Coturnix japonica: one gene and its partners. The main gene of each other region encodes a partner of the protein of the gene in region 2 in a complex. Links are inferred from orthologs where the notes say so. Each region holds a gene or a part of one and is shown on either strand. Other genes may lie near its edges.

Region 1 (4,199 bases), on a different chromosome or scaffold from region 2:
GAACTCTTTATCAGGTCTACAATTCAGTGCAATCAAAGAGGAGAAAAAGTTTAACCTAAGCAGCAGGTTATCAGCTTGCCAAAATCTGCATCCTACTGCTGTACTTATACAGATTTGCTCTATGTGAGGAAATGGATCATATATAGCAGACTGTGCCTGTCTTTTACCTGTTAAAGGTAACTTACCGATCCAAAAATGTCTCCTTTCATGTCCATGCATAGGTAGCGTCCACTCTTCACACCTGTGATTATCACAGAGCCAGCACCCTCAGACTTGATCATTAAGGCACCTTTTTGAGAAAGCAAAGATGTCAAATCCAGAATCCCATTTGACACCACACTCTTGCCTTGCTGGTCCACATGCTGATTTGAACCCATCTTCTATGTCAGCTGGGACTATTGAGCTCCTTAGATCAGGTACGATGTGGCTTTGTTTGATCCTTGGAAAGTTCCTACAGTGGAGATGCCACTACATCTCTTGATCTGATCTTGATCTTTGTCTGAACCCTTGTTCCAGTGCTGCACTAACATTCCAAAGAAATTTTTTTTCTAACATCCCAATTGAAGCCTCAAATTCCACTCTGGGCCAGTTTTTCCTTTGTTCTGTCTCTGGCCATGACCAGAGGGAGTCTGACTGCCTCATCTTTATGACTGCCTGTAGTGACTGCCCCATGGTATTCACTTTAAACTACTTTTTACCACATTAAATAAACTTAGTTCCCTCAACATTTTCCAAAATTGTTTATGTTCATGTTCAAGGCCACTGACTATCCTGAAAACTCCCTGCTAGACCAGTTCCAATTTCTCCACGTCCATCTGAAACAGAGTTTTTTTACATAATAATGTAAAAAGACCAGGTTCATTGGTGCTAAGTAAAGGCTGAAAAGTAATTTCCCTTGACCTGCTGACCACAGTACATGGCTTGCCATCTTCTTAAACTGAGTGTGTGCCCTCTGTAACCCTTAGTTCCTGCCCAGAAGGGCTGCACACATCCAGCCTCCTCCCAGCCTGCACAGCACTTTGGACTTTCTATTTACCTGGAATCTCACTGCTAGTGGTGACCTGGCAGAAATTCAGTCACCTTCCCTTTCATGACCCCACTGACTGATTTCAACCCCTCCTACTCAATCCTTCCAAATATATGTGGATTTTTTTCATTACAGATATGGGCAAAACATGGATTTTTACTGGCTGTTTTCTCTTTTGCTTCTCTCTGGTTATAGCCCAGCATGCCAAAAAACAAATTTTATAAAACCCATAGATGTATGGGAAAAATAACATTAAGACAGAACATACATTCCTATAAGTGTTTCATCAGTAATTCCTTAAAAGAGAAATACGGGAACTTGGTTATTTTTTCTCTTTGATAAATTAAACTTCTAAAATTGTCTTTTGTTCCTTATATTATTTTGCACAAGTATTACAAGATGTGCTTATTAAATATAGTTGTGTGGATGAAGGGCATGTTATGCAGTAGTAATAAAAATGACTTTATGATGCATAGCTACTTGTGATTTGAGTGCTGTTAAAAGAGAAGCAATTTTGGAATCCTATCTAAGAATGATTTGTCCTAAAAAAAAAAAAAGACAACCAAACCAAACCAAACTACACTTTCTTTCTTTTTCTTTTCTTTTTTTTTTTTTTTTTTAAACTAATGAATTTGTTCAGGCAGGCATCCAGCAAAGAATACCTGCATTTTCCATGAAAATAAACTACAATGGAACCTTTGAGTTACAAAAGGGAATAATTACCTCTGATGGACTCAGAAGGCTTAGCACTTCTTAACTACAATCTGGACTTTCACAGTTTCCCCCCATTTTATCAACTGTTGCACACTCAGTTACCCACATTCCATGCACAACTAAGTTTCTGCCATGCATCTGCATTAAAAACACATAACTAAAGTTTCTCTTATAAACCAATCTTCAATAAAGAGTGGTTTTGATACATTTGGAAGAAAATGACCTAATTTTAGTAGATCGAATATCTCCACCCCAAAATATGTTATGACCATAATCTGGTTTCCACAACTGCTGTGGTGATTTTTCTCAGTGCAATGCTATCATTGCAGTGGAAATGTAATCACTAATAAAAAATTCCACAAGAAACCATGGGTAAAATCATAAAATGAAGGATAATTCAGGTAATTTTTGCTTGCAGAGCATCACAGGAACCACACAACTTTAGTCATCTTAGACAAAGATAACTACCTGTTATATACCCCTTGTACCCCTTATGTATATACCTCTTCCCCACCTGTTATATTTCTTTAAAGCAAAGTATTTGTTAAACAAAATGAGTATTAGAATTGTGTATGTTTTTGATCCCATAGCTCTGCTCCTCTCTTTGTATGCCTGGCAAGATGATGGAATTTTGTATAGGTATAGAAAAAGCAAAAGTCTTGATCCCCCTCCCCTACTCCCATGAAGACAGAGGGTCCATAATAAGCTACTTACTGTAAATGGTTTGGTGAGGAACACCACTGATGTGTCCATCAGCATTGATTTGGAGATGGAAGCTGTTCCTCTCTGTAGAAGTGTACAAGTGCATCAGCTGATCTCCATTCCCCCAGCTGGGATTCAGTAGTGGAGAGGAGTTAGGGAAGGCAACTGCAGCCTTCAGTATACACAGCACAAGCAGCGCATACTCCAGGCAGCTGCAGGGACTGGTGTGTGTCATGGTTCTCAGCTCTTAGTGGCTGTTCCGTATCTGAAACTTGATACTCCTTTGCGCTTTTCACTTTCCCTTGTTTGTCTGTGTCTGCAGCAAGAATCCTCAGATAAGTTCCCTTCTTTGCAGGGCTTTATGAAGAGCAGGATAAGTGACATCACACAGGAAAACAAAACAAAACAAAACAAAAAAACTTGTCCACATCCTTGATTTTTGTCAAAGCAACATTTTAAGTTTTCCAAAACCTCAAGGGAAGGAAAGCACGTAGGATCTCTGGGCAAGGTGTAGGGGGAAGAAATATAAGGTTTCTAAAGACAGCTCACCAAAGCTAATCATATGTTCAAATGTTATCGACAAACTTGTGACATCTTAAAGTTTCCTGTGCCTCTACTGTTAAATCCAGAAAGAGCAATCCACTGTAATTTCTGTGAAGAGAAAGGAATGACCCATTAAATTTATTGTGTTTTTTTTCCCCTCAGATTTAGATTTCTACCTCCTCTCTTCATTTCTAAACTACATTCTGATTAGTTGAAAACAGCAAATTAAAACCAAAAACACAAGTTAAAAAAAAAAAATCACAGATCCATCATAATCTGAGATTAAATTGTTCTGGGTCTGTTCCTTCATTATGGTGTGACTTTAGCAGTGAGTTTGGCGGATTGATGTCTGTGTCACCTCATTTAAGCAAGTGAAACTTGATGTGCACACACCTCACTCCAACTAAGCTCTTCTTTTTATTGCTCCTCTTTGAATCACTTAAATAATTTGGAGTTGACCAAACAGCTGAAGATCAGCTGCAGAATACTTAGAATCTGAAGTTTGTTCCCTCATTGCATGTTTGGTTAGTGGTCTTTTAGAGAGCCACATAGGTTAGCATGGCTAGAAGATCTAGGATCTGAATCAAAAGTAAAATCACTCATAATGGCACATTTCTATTGATTCAGGTATAGCAAACAAGCTTGGGATGTGAGTAAATTGAAAAGAAATAAGTGTAAAGTGATGTTAAAATGGTTTCAAGATACTATATCTGCTTTTTCGTTTGTCCTGTCAATGTACAACAGTTCATCAGCAACTTTTTTGATTAAGAAACATATATTGTTCTGCTTATTGTATAGAAGTACTGTACTAAGGGGATGCTGGCTATACAGATTAAGCAGCAGTGATAGGAATACTTGTGACAATAGGCTGTATTTAGCTGTTGGCTTGTTTGTTTCAGAAATGAATACAGAATGAAAAGAGCACAAAGCAATAACTGAATCACTTCTTAAGAAGACGCCTGGAGATTTTAAGCATAACAGTCCTAGATTCACTGCTTTCAGGCAGAGAAGTTAGTAAGTTACAGGATTTAGTTAGACACTGTGAAATTCTTAGTCCCATCAACAGCTGTGGAGCAGTGCCATCAGCACAGAATACAGCTTGATAAAACTACCATAGTAGATCTGATTATTTTTTAAGTTTAAAATTAGTAGAACTCTGCCAAATTCTTCTATCACACCTGTGTAAATCTAGAAACTTGCACCTGTGTAAATG
Region 2 (4,187 bases):
GCGTGCACACTCCTAGCAAATTGATGATGTTCTTGTGCTTGTCCATCAGCTTCATCATCTCCATCTCGGAGATGAGGTCAGCCAGGTCTTTGTCAGTGGCGTTGTCTGTTGACAGAGGGCCGTGTCACTGATGCTGGGGTGGCACCAATGCAGCAGCCATGCCCAGGACGCCACAGCACGACTGATACCTTTGAGCATTTTGACAGCCACGGTGACAGCTCGGTCCGGCCACTGCCTGTCGATGCCGTACGCCTCCGCCCGCACCACCTGCCCAAAGCAGCCCTCGCCCAGGGGCTTCCCCAGCACCAACCTGCCAGGGGAGGCAGAGCTGTGAGCACACAGTGGGGCTGACCCTGCTCCAAGCCCATGGGGCACAGTGCCCCGGCACTGCCAGCCCTCTCCAGCTCCTTACTTTTCTCGAGGGAATTCCCACTTGGAATCCAGGGGCAGGTCCATCTCCACGACGCCCGCCAGCATGGGGGCACAGCTGGAGGAGAGGCGGGTGACACGCATCAGCGACGTGCTGGACTTCCCTGATGAGCTGGAGTCCAGGGAGAACTGCGGGGACAGCACAGCAGCCCTCAGACACCTGGGAGTCACACTGAGACCTGGTGCTGCTGAGAGCAATGGGGTGAGGGCAGCCCCAAGGACAAGCAACAGGGACAGGTGGCAGCAGCAGGGCCAGTTGTCACCAAGGTGCCCCCAGCTCAGCCCTCACCTGTCGGATGAGTGGGAATTTGGAGAGCTTGTGCACTGCCATGGGCTCCAGGGGCTGCTTGCTCGACTGTGTCTGCATGCGGCACAGCACCACGATGATGAGGGCCATGGCCACAGCCAGCGAGCCCGACGTGTAGATGATGATGTCGGTGTACTTGGCCTCGGAGGTCTCAGCTTCATGCACCAGCTCTTCTTCTAGAAGGAGAGCACACGTCAGTCCACACCACGGTCCCCATGCTGCTTTCAGCCCTAACCCCAGCTCTAACCTCAGCCCTACCTGGGAGCACAGTGAGCCACGCTGACTGGTAGGAGAGGCCGATGGAGTTCCCTGCCAGGCAGGTGTACTCGCCTGCGTCCTCCATGGTGACATTGCGCAGGTACAGCACCTCCACCTCGGAGCTGTTGATATCTGCGGTCTGTGGGCAGAACGAGGGACCGTGAGCATCCCTGTGTGGGGACAAGCTCCATGTGACCCTGCCACCCCCCAGCTGCTACCTTGAGCACTTGCACGTAGGGCACCCCGTCAGGGCCATAGCTGCTGCCGTTCACCTCAATGTGCTTCAGCCACTGGATATGGGGCTGGGCATCGCTGTACACCTTGCAGAAGAACTCCACGTCGCTGCCCACCAGGGCAGTGGTGTTGGCAGGCAGCCCCGCCTGCAGGATGGGCCGGTGCGGGGACCTCTCTGCACACAGGGCATAGGGGCAAAGTCACACACAGTACCCAGGGGGGTCCCAGCCCTACCTCCCTCAGGTGCTGGGACACGAGGGCTGCTCAAGCAGAGCAGATGAGGATGGGCTCCTCTGCCTTCATCCCCTGCAGCCCATCCCCTCTCGCCAGCACAGTGGCAGCAGGGACCCCCCTGGCACCACCTGCGGACCCTCACCCAGCACATCCAGCAGGTAGCTGTAGCGGATGCTGCCGAACCTGTTCTCCACCAGACAGGTGTAGTTGCCACGGTCCGAGGGCACCACGCTCTCCATCACCAGGCTCCAGTGCTGGTGCCGGAGCTGCGACGGGGAGCAACAGGTTCAGGGGGCTGCAGCTGAGCCAGACACCAGGAGGAGAGGATGACATGGGGGGGGGCCCTTACCCGTATGCCCCCGATGCGGTGCTCCCCCCGGAACTCACGTCCATTCTTGAACCAGCGGATGCTGGGGCTGGGGCTGCCCGAGGCCGGGCAGCGGAACTTGACGGTGTTCCCCGCAGGGACAGCATACAGCTTCTTGTCCATGCGGTGAGGGTGAGTCCAGTACGGTGCTGGGGAGAGACGGGGGGCATCGTGGGATGTGGCTTATGGCCTCGGGTGGGGGCTGCCCCCAGTCGCTCCCCCCATGACAGCACTCACCTCTGTGCACATAGACCGGCTCCTCGCTGCGGTCTCCGTGGGGACCATCCCCATCACTGTCTTCATCGTCATCACCCGATGCCAGCGAGTCTGCAAAGGAAAGCGGGTCACGAGGGGTGCCCCTGTCTTCAGGATGGGGTAAATCAGGCTGTGCTCCCCTCAGTGCTGCTCCGGGCCCTCACCCACTACAGAGATGGTGAAGTTGTGCAGGACTTCCCCGGTGCCCCGCGCCCGACACACACACAGCCCCGAGTCCTCGTAGGCGACCTCAGAGATCTGCACTGTGCCCGGCTGGAGGCGGACGCGGGGCCCCGGGAGCAGCGGCCGCGACTCCTTGTACCAGACCACAGTGGCACCGCTGCGGTTAGCGTTGCAGTGCAGCTTCAGAGCATTGCCCGGCTCCAACAGGAGCTGCTGCTCCTCCGACTCCAGCAGCGGGCTCTCAATCAGCTCTGCAGCCCGGGAGAGACGCGCTGAGCGCCGCGCACAGCGCCCCGGACAGCAGGAACCCACCGCGCTTCTCGGCGTGCACAGCGCACACACACACACACACACACACACACACACACACACACACACACGTCCTGGCCAGAGACGCGTGTACAAGGGCTGGACTCTGCCCCCGGGCGCTGGGACAAGGCTTCCCCCGCGACCGCCTGGCACTGCCGCGTTCCCGGCCAAGGCCACCCACGCCACGGTCCTTCCAGAGGGGTCTGCGCCCATTCTGCCGTACTGGGACGGGAAGGAACCGGGAGCGATCAGCGTCAAAGTTCCACCACCACCTCCGGCTCCCCGCGGACCCGGCCCACGCTGGTAAAGCGGCTCCAAAGCAAATATTCAGCTCTGTACTAAACTCAAGAGCCGCTCGGAGCAAAACCACCGCTGGGACAAACCAAAGCAGCGACGGTTCGGCCGCTCCGGGACCCGCAGCCCCCGCCCTGTCCGCGTGTTCCACGCGCCGCCGCCGCGCCCCGAGCCCCGCAGCTGTCAGCACCGCGTGCGCCCCACCGCACCGCACCGGCACCGCCCGCAGCACCCAGCCCAGCCCGCAGCCGGGCTGCCGATGCTCGAAAGCACGAGAAGCGGGGCCGGGAAAAACCAGCACCGGAGCCGCCTTCACCCCCCCAGCCGTCCCGTCCGTACCTGGCTCCATCTCCCCGCGGTGCGAAGCGGCCGGGCCGACCGCCAGCAGCAGCCCCGCCAGGACGAGCCAGAGCGGCAGCATCTTCCGGGCCTCCCGTGGGAAGCGGCACCGCGGCCAGGAGCTGCGGCGCCCCGCGACCGTCGGGCAGCGCCGGCTGCGCGGAGCCCCGACGGCGCGGCTGCTCCGGCTGCTCCGGCCCCGCACCGGCCTCGTCGGGGAGGGCCCGGGCAAAGTCCTGCGGGGCCGGGCGGGCTCCGCTCAGCGCCGCGGCCCCATGGCGGCCCCGACTCTCGCCCCGCCGCGCTGTGCCGAGGGCGCGGGCACTTTGTAGGGCGGCGCTCGGGTTACGCGGCGCCGCGGGCGGCCTCGCCGGGGGCGGCCCCGGCCCCGCCCGCTGCCCGGGACCACGTCACGCGCACGAGGCGCGTTCACGTCACTCGCGTAACGTCACGGCGTGCGGGGCCCCCGCGATCCCCCGCCCCCGGGTCCCGGCCGTTTCTCGGCGCCGCCCACCGCCCGCAGCCCGCAGCCCCCGCGGCGCGTTGCTGGGCGCCGTTCCCGTGGCTGGGCGCTCGGGCTAATTGCCGCCGCTGCAATTAGCGCGGCGTTATCGCTGCCGGGGCCATCAAGTGGCCGTGACCCCCATTAGGAGTCCATAAGGCTGCGTCGTAAAACACCGCGGGGCTGCGAGGCGGGGCCGGCCCGGCCCTAATCCGTGCCATAAACACCTCTCCGCGGAGAGACCCCCGACACCGGGAGCGGTCCCGGCCGCGTCCCGTTTTCCCGGTCCGTGCGGGAACGAAGCCGGGAGCCGAGCCCCGGAGCTCCCCGCGGAGCCGCTTTGAGACGGTGCCGCGATGTTGCGCCGTCCGGGGGCTGCCGCTGTCCCCCCCCGTTGCTCGGGGCCGTGACTCCGGGTTGCAGCAGCGCCGCGTGCTGTGCTCGGCCGCTCCCTCCTGGGGTCCCGCTCCCTTCCC
Region 3 (4,295 bases), on a different chromosome or scaffold from region 2:
TCTGTTGCTACAGCTGGAGCTCAAATTATCACTTGGCCTGTAATCAAACATTAGTCACTTGTCAGACTATAGCAAACTCATAGCAGCTGATGCCCAGCCTGCCAGTTGCCTGCTCCCACACCGCAACCTTCCTCCCTTTAGGAAGGGCTGACAGTGGTCCCCCATTCAGACTTTTATCTGCCTCCAGTGGGAACAAGTTAATCACCGTTAACAGAAACAGACGAAACAAGAGAAAGGCTCTGCCTGGACCTGAGAGGTACAAAAACCCATCCTACACTCTGGAAGAAACCTTTAGCAACTTTCAAGAGGCATTTCAATCCATCAGCTCATTACTAGTCATTACCTGTAATTTTACCTCGAGGGCGTCTATTTTCTAAAAATAAAATGAAATGCTCTTAATGCCTTCATTCTTTTGTTAAGCAACAACTTTATCTCTTGGGAACATCTCTCTAACAGCCTGTCTAATTGGTGTTTTATTCCGAGGTGTCCCAACTTGTGTTAGAGTTCACACAACCAAGTACTGAGTCTTTGCAATGTTTTGAGGCAGTTCTTGCCCAGGTGTTGTTGTCTGAAGCCGACATGAACAGCAACGTAAGACCTGTCTTTAGGATGAGATCTTTGCATCACGCCCACACGGGCAGATACAAAGTGTAACCAAACTATCAGACTGAAATGTACATCTCAATTTGTTTCTCTGAGGCATTTCTCATTGGAAAATGTTCTGTGTTTGGTGAGCAGCCAGATGTACCAGCCTCCAGTCCCAGAAAGGAGAAGGCGATACAACTACAAGGTGCCGGCCCATGAATTACCAGGGGTGTCAGGTCCTTGGTCACCGAGTCTCTGATTATTACTATGAGTGATCACAATGGCAATATCACTTGACACAGTGCCACAAAGAAACTACCAGGTGAAGGAAAAAAGTATAAAAGCAGCAGCCATCAGCACAGCACCTTTATTTCCTCGCGTTTTCCACTTGAGAGGTGCTCCCTCCCCTCGGGGCTCGGGGATACCTCGGCTCCCCCGACGGCGAGAGGCGGAAGAACGCGGCGTCGGGGCCCTCGGGGGCTCCTTGAGAAGGCGGTTTGTGTCCCCTGAGGGACAGGAGGCGAATGGAGCAGCAGCAAAAGGAGGGAGGGAAGGAGGACGGCTCCAAAACCGCGTCCAGGTGCGGGCTCCCCGCAGGGACCCGGGGGGCTGCAGGGCCGCGCCCGCCGCGATCTTCGCCCCAAGGAGCAGGGGTGAAGGAGGTGACCCCGAAGGGCAGAGGGCAGCCGACTCGGTTCCACCGCCCCGCAGCCTCCCGCCCCGTCTCAGCCCGGGTCCCGCCCCCGAGGCAGCCCTTCTCCCTGCGGGAGCCGCTCTGCTCCCCTCGCAGACCGGGAAGGATGCGGGCGGCAGCTCCGAGGTAATTATTAATGGCCGTGCCCACCGGGGCGGGGGGGAAGGAGTAAGGTGAGGATAAAAGGGGGCGGCGGGGGGCTGGGAGGAGGGAAGTACCGTCGGGAGCATGGCCCCGCCGCCGCCGGTGCTTCCAGTGCTGCCGGTGCTATTGGTGCTCGGGCGGCCGCTGCTTGGGGCACCGGGGCAGGGCGCGGGCACCTGGGCCCGCTTCGCCCGCCTGCCCTACCCGCAGGACCAACTCTTCCTCTATGACACCTTCCCCGATGGCTTCCTCTGGGGTGCGGGCAGTGCTGCCTATCAGACAGAGGGAGGCTGGCGGCAGGGCGGCAAAGGGGCCTCCATCTGGGACACCTTCACCCATCGACCCACCACTCCAGCAGGGTCCATCCTGCCAGGTCCAACAGGAGGTGATGTGGCCAGCGACAGCTACAACAACATATTCCGCGACATCGAGGGGCTGCGGCACCTGGGGGTCTCCCACTATCGCTTCTCACTGGCCTGGACTCGACTGATGCCCAATGGCACAGCACCCATCAATCCCGCTGGGCTGGCTCACTATGGCCGAGTTTTGAGCCGGCTGAGGGAGCTGGGCATAGAACCTGTCGTCACTCTCTACCACTGGGACCTGCCACAGGGCTTGCAAGATGCCTTTGGCGGCTGGGCCAGTCCTGTCCTGCCTGACCTCTTCCGTGACTATGCCGAGCTCTGCTTCCAGCATTTTGGTGGACAGGTCCGCTACTGGTTGACCATGGACAACCCTTATGTGGTGGCCTGGCATGGATATGGCACTGGGAGGCTGCCACCCAACGTGCAGGGTGGCCCACACCTGGGCTACCGTGTGGCACACCACTTACTGCAGGTAAATGACGGTTGGCCCCACAGTGGGTGGTGGGAAGGGGCCTTCTCCTCCCATCAGAGGAGCTGCAGTCGCTCCTCAGGCCATGGATTATGTCAGCAGGAAGGGTACCCACAGCCTTCCTCGTTGCACGGATCAATTTGCTGGGCAGCAGCTGGATTGGAAACTAAATCAGTGTGGAATGGCGGCTGGGGCTGAATGTGCCCCATGCTCCCTGATGGTAGGCAGGTAAAAAACATACACTTTGTAAACTGGAGATATGATCTTTCTATTTGCAGTTATCTTAAGGTAACGTCAAGATAAAGTTACAGAGAAGTTGTGGATGCCCTGTCCCTGGGAGGTGTTTAAGGCCAGGTTGAATGGGGTCCTGGGTAACCTGATACAGTGCTTGATCAAGGGGTTGGCAGCTTTGCCCATGGCAGGAGGGTGGTACAACATGATCTTTGAGGTCCCTTCCCCTCCAAGCCATTCTATGATCCTGTGACACGGAGTTGAAATGTTCTCTGTATGCCACAGAAATATTTAGTTCTGCCCTCCAGCATTTGCAAGTGCTATTGGTGATGGGTGAGACGCATTCAGCTGTGCCGGTTCAGCACTTGCAGTTACTGTGGAAATACTCAACACAGCTACAGAAGGAATTCAAACATTTGATTTAAACAAGTCTTACTGAGTTAGCGGAGACAATAGAGGTAGCTGAAATGTCACGCTGAAGGATGCCCTTGACAAAATACAGGCTTTTTTTGACAATGTAAATAATGTTGGAAAAAAGAAAAAAACAACTCTCCTTGTCAGCTAGTTTAGTCAATGGCATGAATACTTTGCTATAAATAATTTTTATAGAGAGAATATAGTATAACTGTAATTTGTCCTGGAAGCGTTTGTGAATTCTTGGGGAGAATTAAGCAAAATTGTGTACAGATCTTTTTACCATCAGGGTAAAGGACTGCTAGACTCCTGTTTGAATACCAGGAGTGATGTGGCCCCCAAGGCATGGTCTGTTGGTGCACATTTACGTTCTCTGCTAACCTTCAAACATGGCTTACCCGCAGCAGTCTGTGTTATAGAGTGTCATACATGAGATGAGAACTTCAGGAAAACACCCAACACTTCTCACTCAACTTTTTGCCACTTCCTTTGCATTGTTTAGAGTTACGCAGATTTTTAGACAAAATATAGGTGGGGAGGATGTGAGCAAGATACCTGGCAGTGCTGAAATTCCTGGTCCAGAAACCTTTGCACTCTCAGCAACCCTTAGGGAGCAACCTGGCCAAGTCTGTGCTGTGATAGTTCAGTTCACTGAACTAAATGAGTAAATAAATAAAGCTATTCCTAAACTTCAGTACTTGCAGGATTAGCCACAAGTTTTGCAGCAGGGCTGCATCACCTCACATTTTTATGCTTTTCAGAGTCATTGCATAGCTGCTGATGTGCTGTTTGGCACGCTTTGCATAGTTACTCTGAAGGCAGTGGGGCTCCACACGAGGGTAAAGGTGTCAGCTTGGTTTGTGGGGTGCAGAACCTCAGAGGCTGGAGCTCTGTGTCTCTCCCTCTAGAGATGACACAGAACAGAAATCATTATAGCTGCAAATGTAAGCACTCAGGCTGTCAAAAGAAAGATCACTTTGGAATAATTACTTTAAGGGCGGTGGACTTGCTGAGAAAGAGTTTTAATGCTGTCTGTCACTTCATTTTTTTAAAATTATTATTATTACTTTTTATTTTCTGCAAAATAAGCAGGTAATAAGGCAGTTCCTGTTCTGTATAGTTCTCCCCTCTACCTGTTGTTCAGTCTGTAGCTTCAGACTCAAATTAAATTAGGCCAGATAAATAAATGCTATGTCTGTCCTTGGCTTTTCCATAGTGCTGTCTGTTCTGAGTATTGATATCCCACATCACCGCAGTATCTGAGTCTCTCATAATCTGAAGGATATGGTTGTTGAAGGAAAACGCCTTTTCTATTTACCAATGGAGAAACCGAGGCACCAGCTTGTCAAGGCACTGTAGAAAGTACAATTCAACCAGGCAAGTTACCAATACT

Evidence for each region.
Region 1: the proteins of FGFR4 (region 2) and FGF23 are in contact, whole or in part, in a cryo-EM structure (PDB 7YSW), measured with the Homo sapiens proteins. The link is inferred for Coturnix japonica from reciprocal best matches to the Homo sapiens genes FGFR4 and FGF23. Residues at the interface, in NP_001341913.1 of Homo sapiens: Glu156, Lys157, Lys158, Leu159, His160, Ala161, Val162, Pro163, Asn166, Asp240, Leu242, Glu243, Arg244, Ser245, Pro246, Lys272, Val273, Tyr274, Ser275, Asp276, Ala277, Gln278, Pro279, His280, Ala308, Asp309, Ile310, Ser312, Gly336, Asn337; in NP_065689.1 of Homo sapiens: Leu32, Gly33, Ser35, Trp36, Gly37, Tyr43, Ala45, Thr46, Ala47, Arg48, Asn49, Ser50, Ile75, Arg76, Ser77, Glu78, Asp79, Ala80, Gly81, Val83, Val84, Tyr93, His117, Gln118, Thr119, Asn122, Gly123, Tyr124, Asp125, Leu158.
Region 3: the proteins of FGFR4 (region 2) and KL are in contact, whole or in part, in a cryo-EM structure (PDB 7YSW), measured with the Homo sapiens proteins. The link is inferred for Coturnix japonica from reciprocal best matches to the Homo sapiens genes FGFR4 and KL. Residues at the interface, in NP_001341913.1 of Homo sapiens: Asp266, Gln282, Leu284, His286, Ile287, Ile289, Gly295, Ala296, Asp297, Gly298, Phe299, Pro300, Tyr301, Val302, Gln303, Val304, Leu305, Lys306, Asn311, Ser312, Glu314, Leu318, Tyr319, Leu320, Arg321, Asn322, Asp327, Thr332, Leu334, Leu341; in NP_004786.2 of Homo sapiens: Ser539, Gln540, Phe541, Thr542, Asp543, Asn545, Val546, Tyr547, Leu548, Trp549, Asp550, Val551, His553, Ser554, Lys555, Arg556, Leu557, Ile558, Val563, Thr565, Arg568, Tyr571, Val573, Ala576, Gln579, Pro580, Glu625, Arg628.

The regions. Positions count from the first base shown.
Region 1 is NC_029516.1:67,144,443-67,148,641, reverse strand, and holds the start of FGF23 (fibroblast growth factor 23), read right to left. Parts: upstream 2,801-4,199; 5' UTR 2,679-2,800; coding exon 2,456-2,678; intron 290-2,455; coding exon 186-289; intron 1-185. UniProt on the Homo sapiens protein: Regulator of phosphate homeostasis. Inhibits renal tubular phosphate transport by reducing SLC34A1 levels. Up-regulates EGR1 expression in the presence of KL. Acts directly on the parathyroid to decrease PTH secretion. Regulator of vitamin-D metabolism.
Region 2 is NC_029528.1:12,077,188-12,081,374, forward strand, and holds the start of FGFR4 (fibroblast growth factor receptor 4), read right to left. Parts: upstream 2,805-4,187; 5' UTR 2,790-2,804; coding exon 2,249-2,789; intron 2,157-2,248; coding exon 2,067-2,156; intron 1,979-2,066; coding exon 1,812-1,978; intron 1,729-1,811; coding exon 1,605-1,728; intron 1,404-1,604; coding exon 1,213-1,403; intron 1,134-1,212; coding exon 995-1,133; intron 913-994; coding exon 719-912; intron 559-718; coding exon 413-558; intron 311-412; coding exon 189-310; intron 106-188; coding exon 1-105. UniProt on the Homo sapiens protein: Tyrosine-protein kinase that acts as a cell-surface receptor for fibroblast growth factors and plays a role in the regulation of cell proliferation, differentiation and migration, and in regulation of lipid metabolism, bile acid biosynthesis, glucose uptake, vitamin D metabolism and phosphate homeostasis.
Region 3 is NC_029516.1:155,927,696-155,931,990, reverse strand, and holds the start of KL (klotho), read left to right. Parts: upstream 1-1,495; 5' UTR 1,496-1,507; coding exon 1,508-2,260; intron 2,261-4,295. UniProt on the Homo sapiens protein: May have weak glycosidase activity towards glucuronylated steroids. However, it lacks essential active site Glu residues at positions 239 and 872, suggesting it may be inactive as a glycosidase in vivo.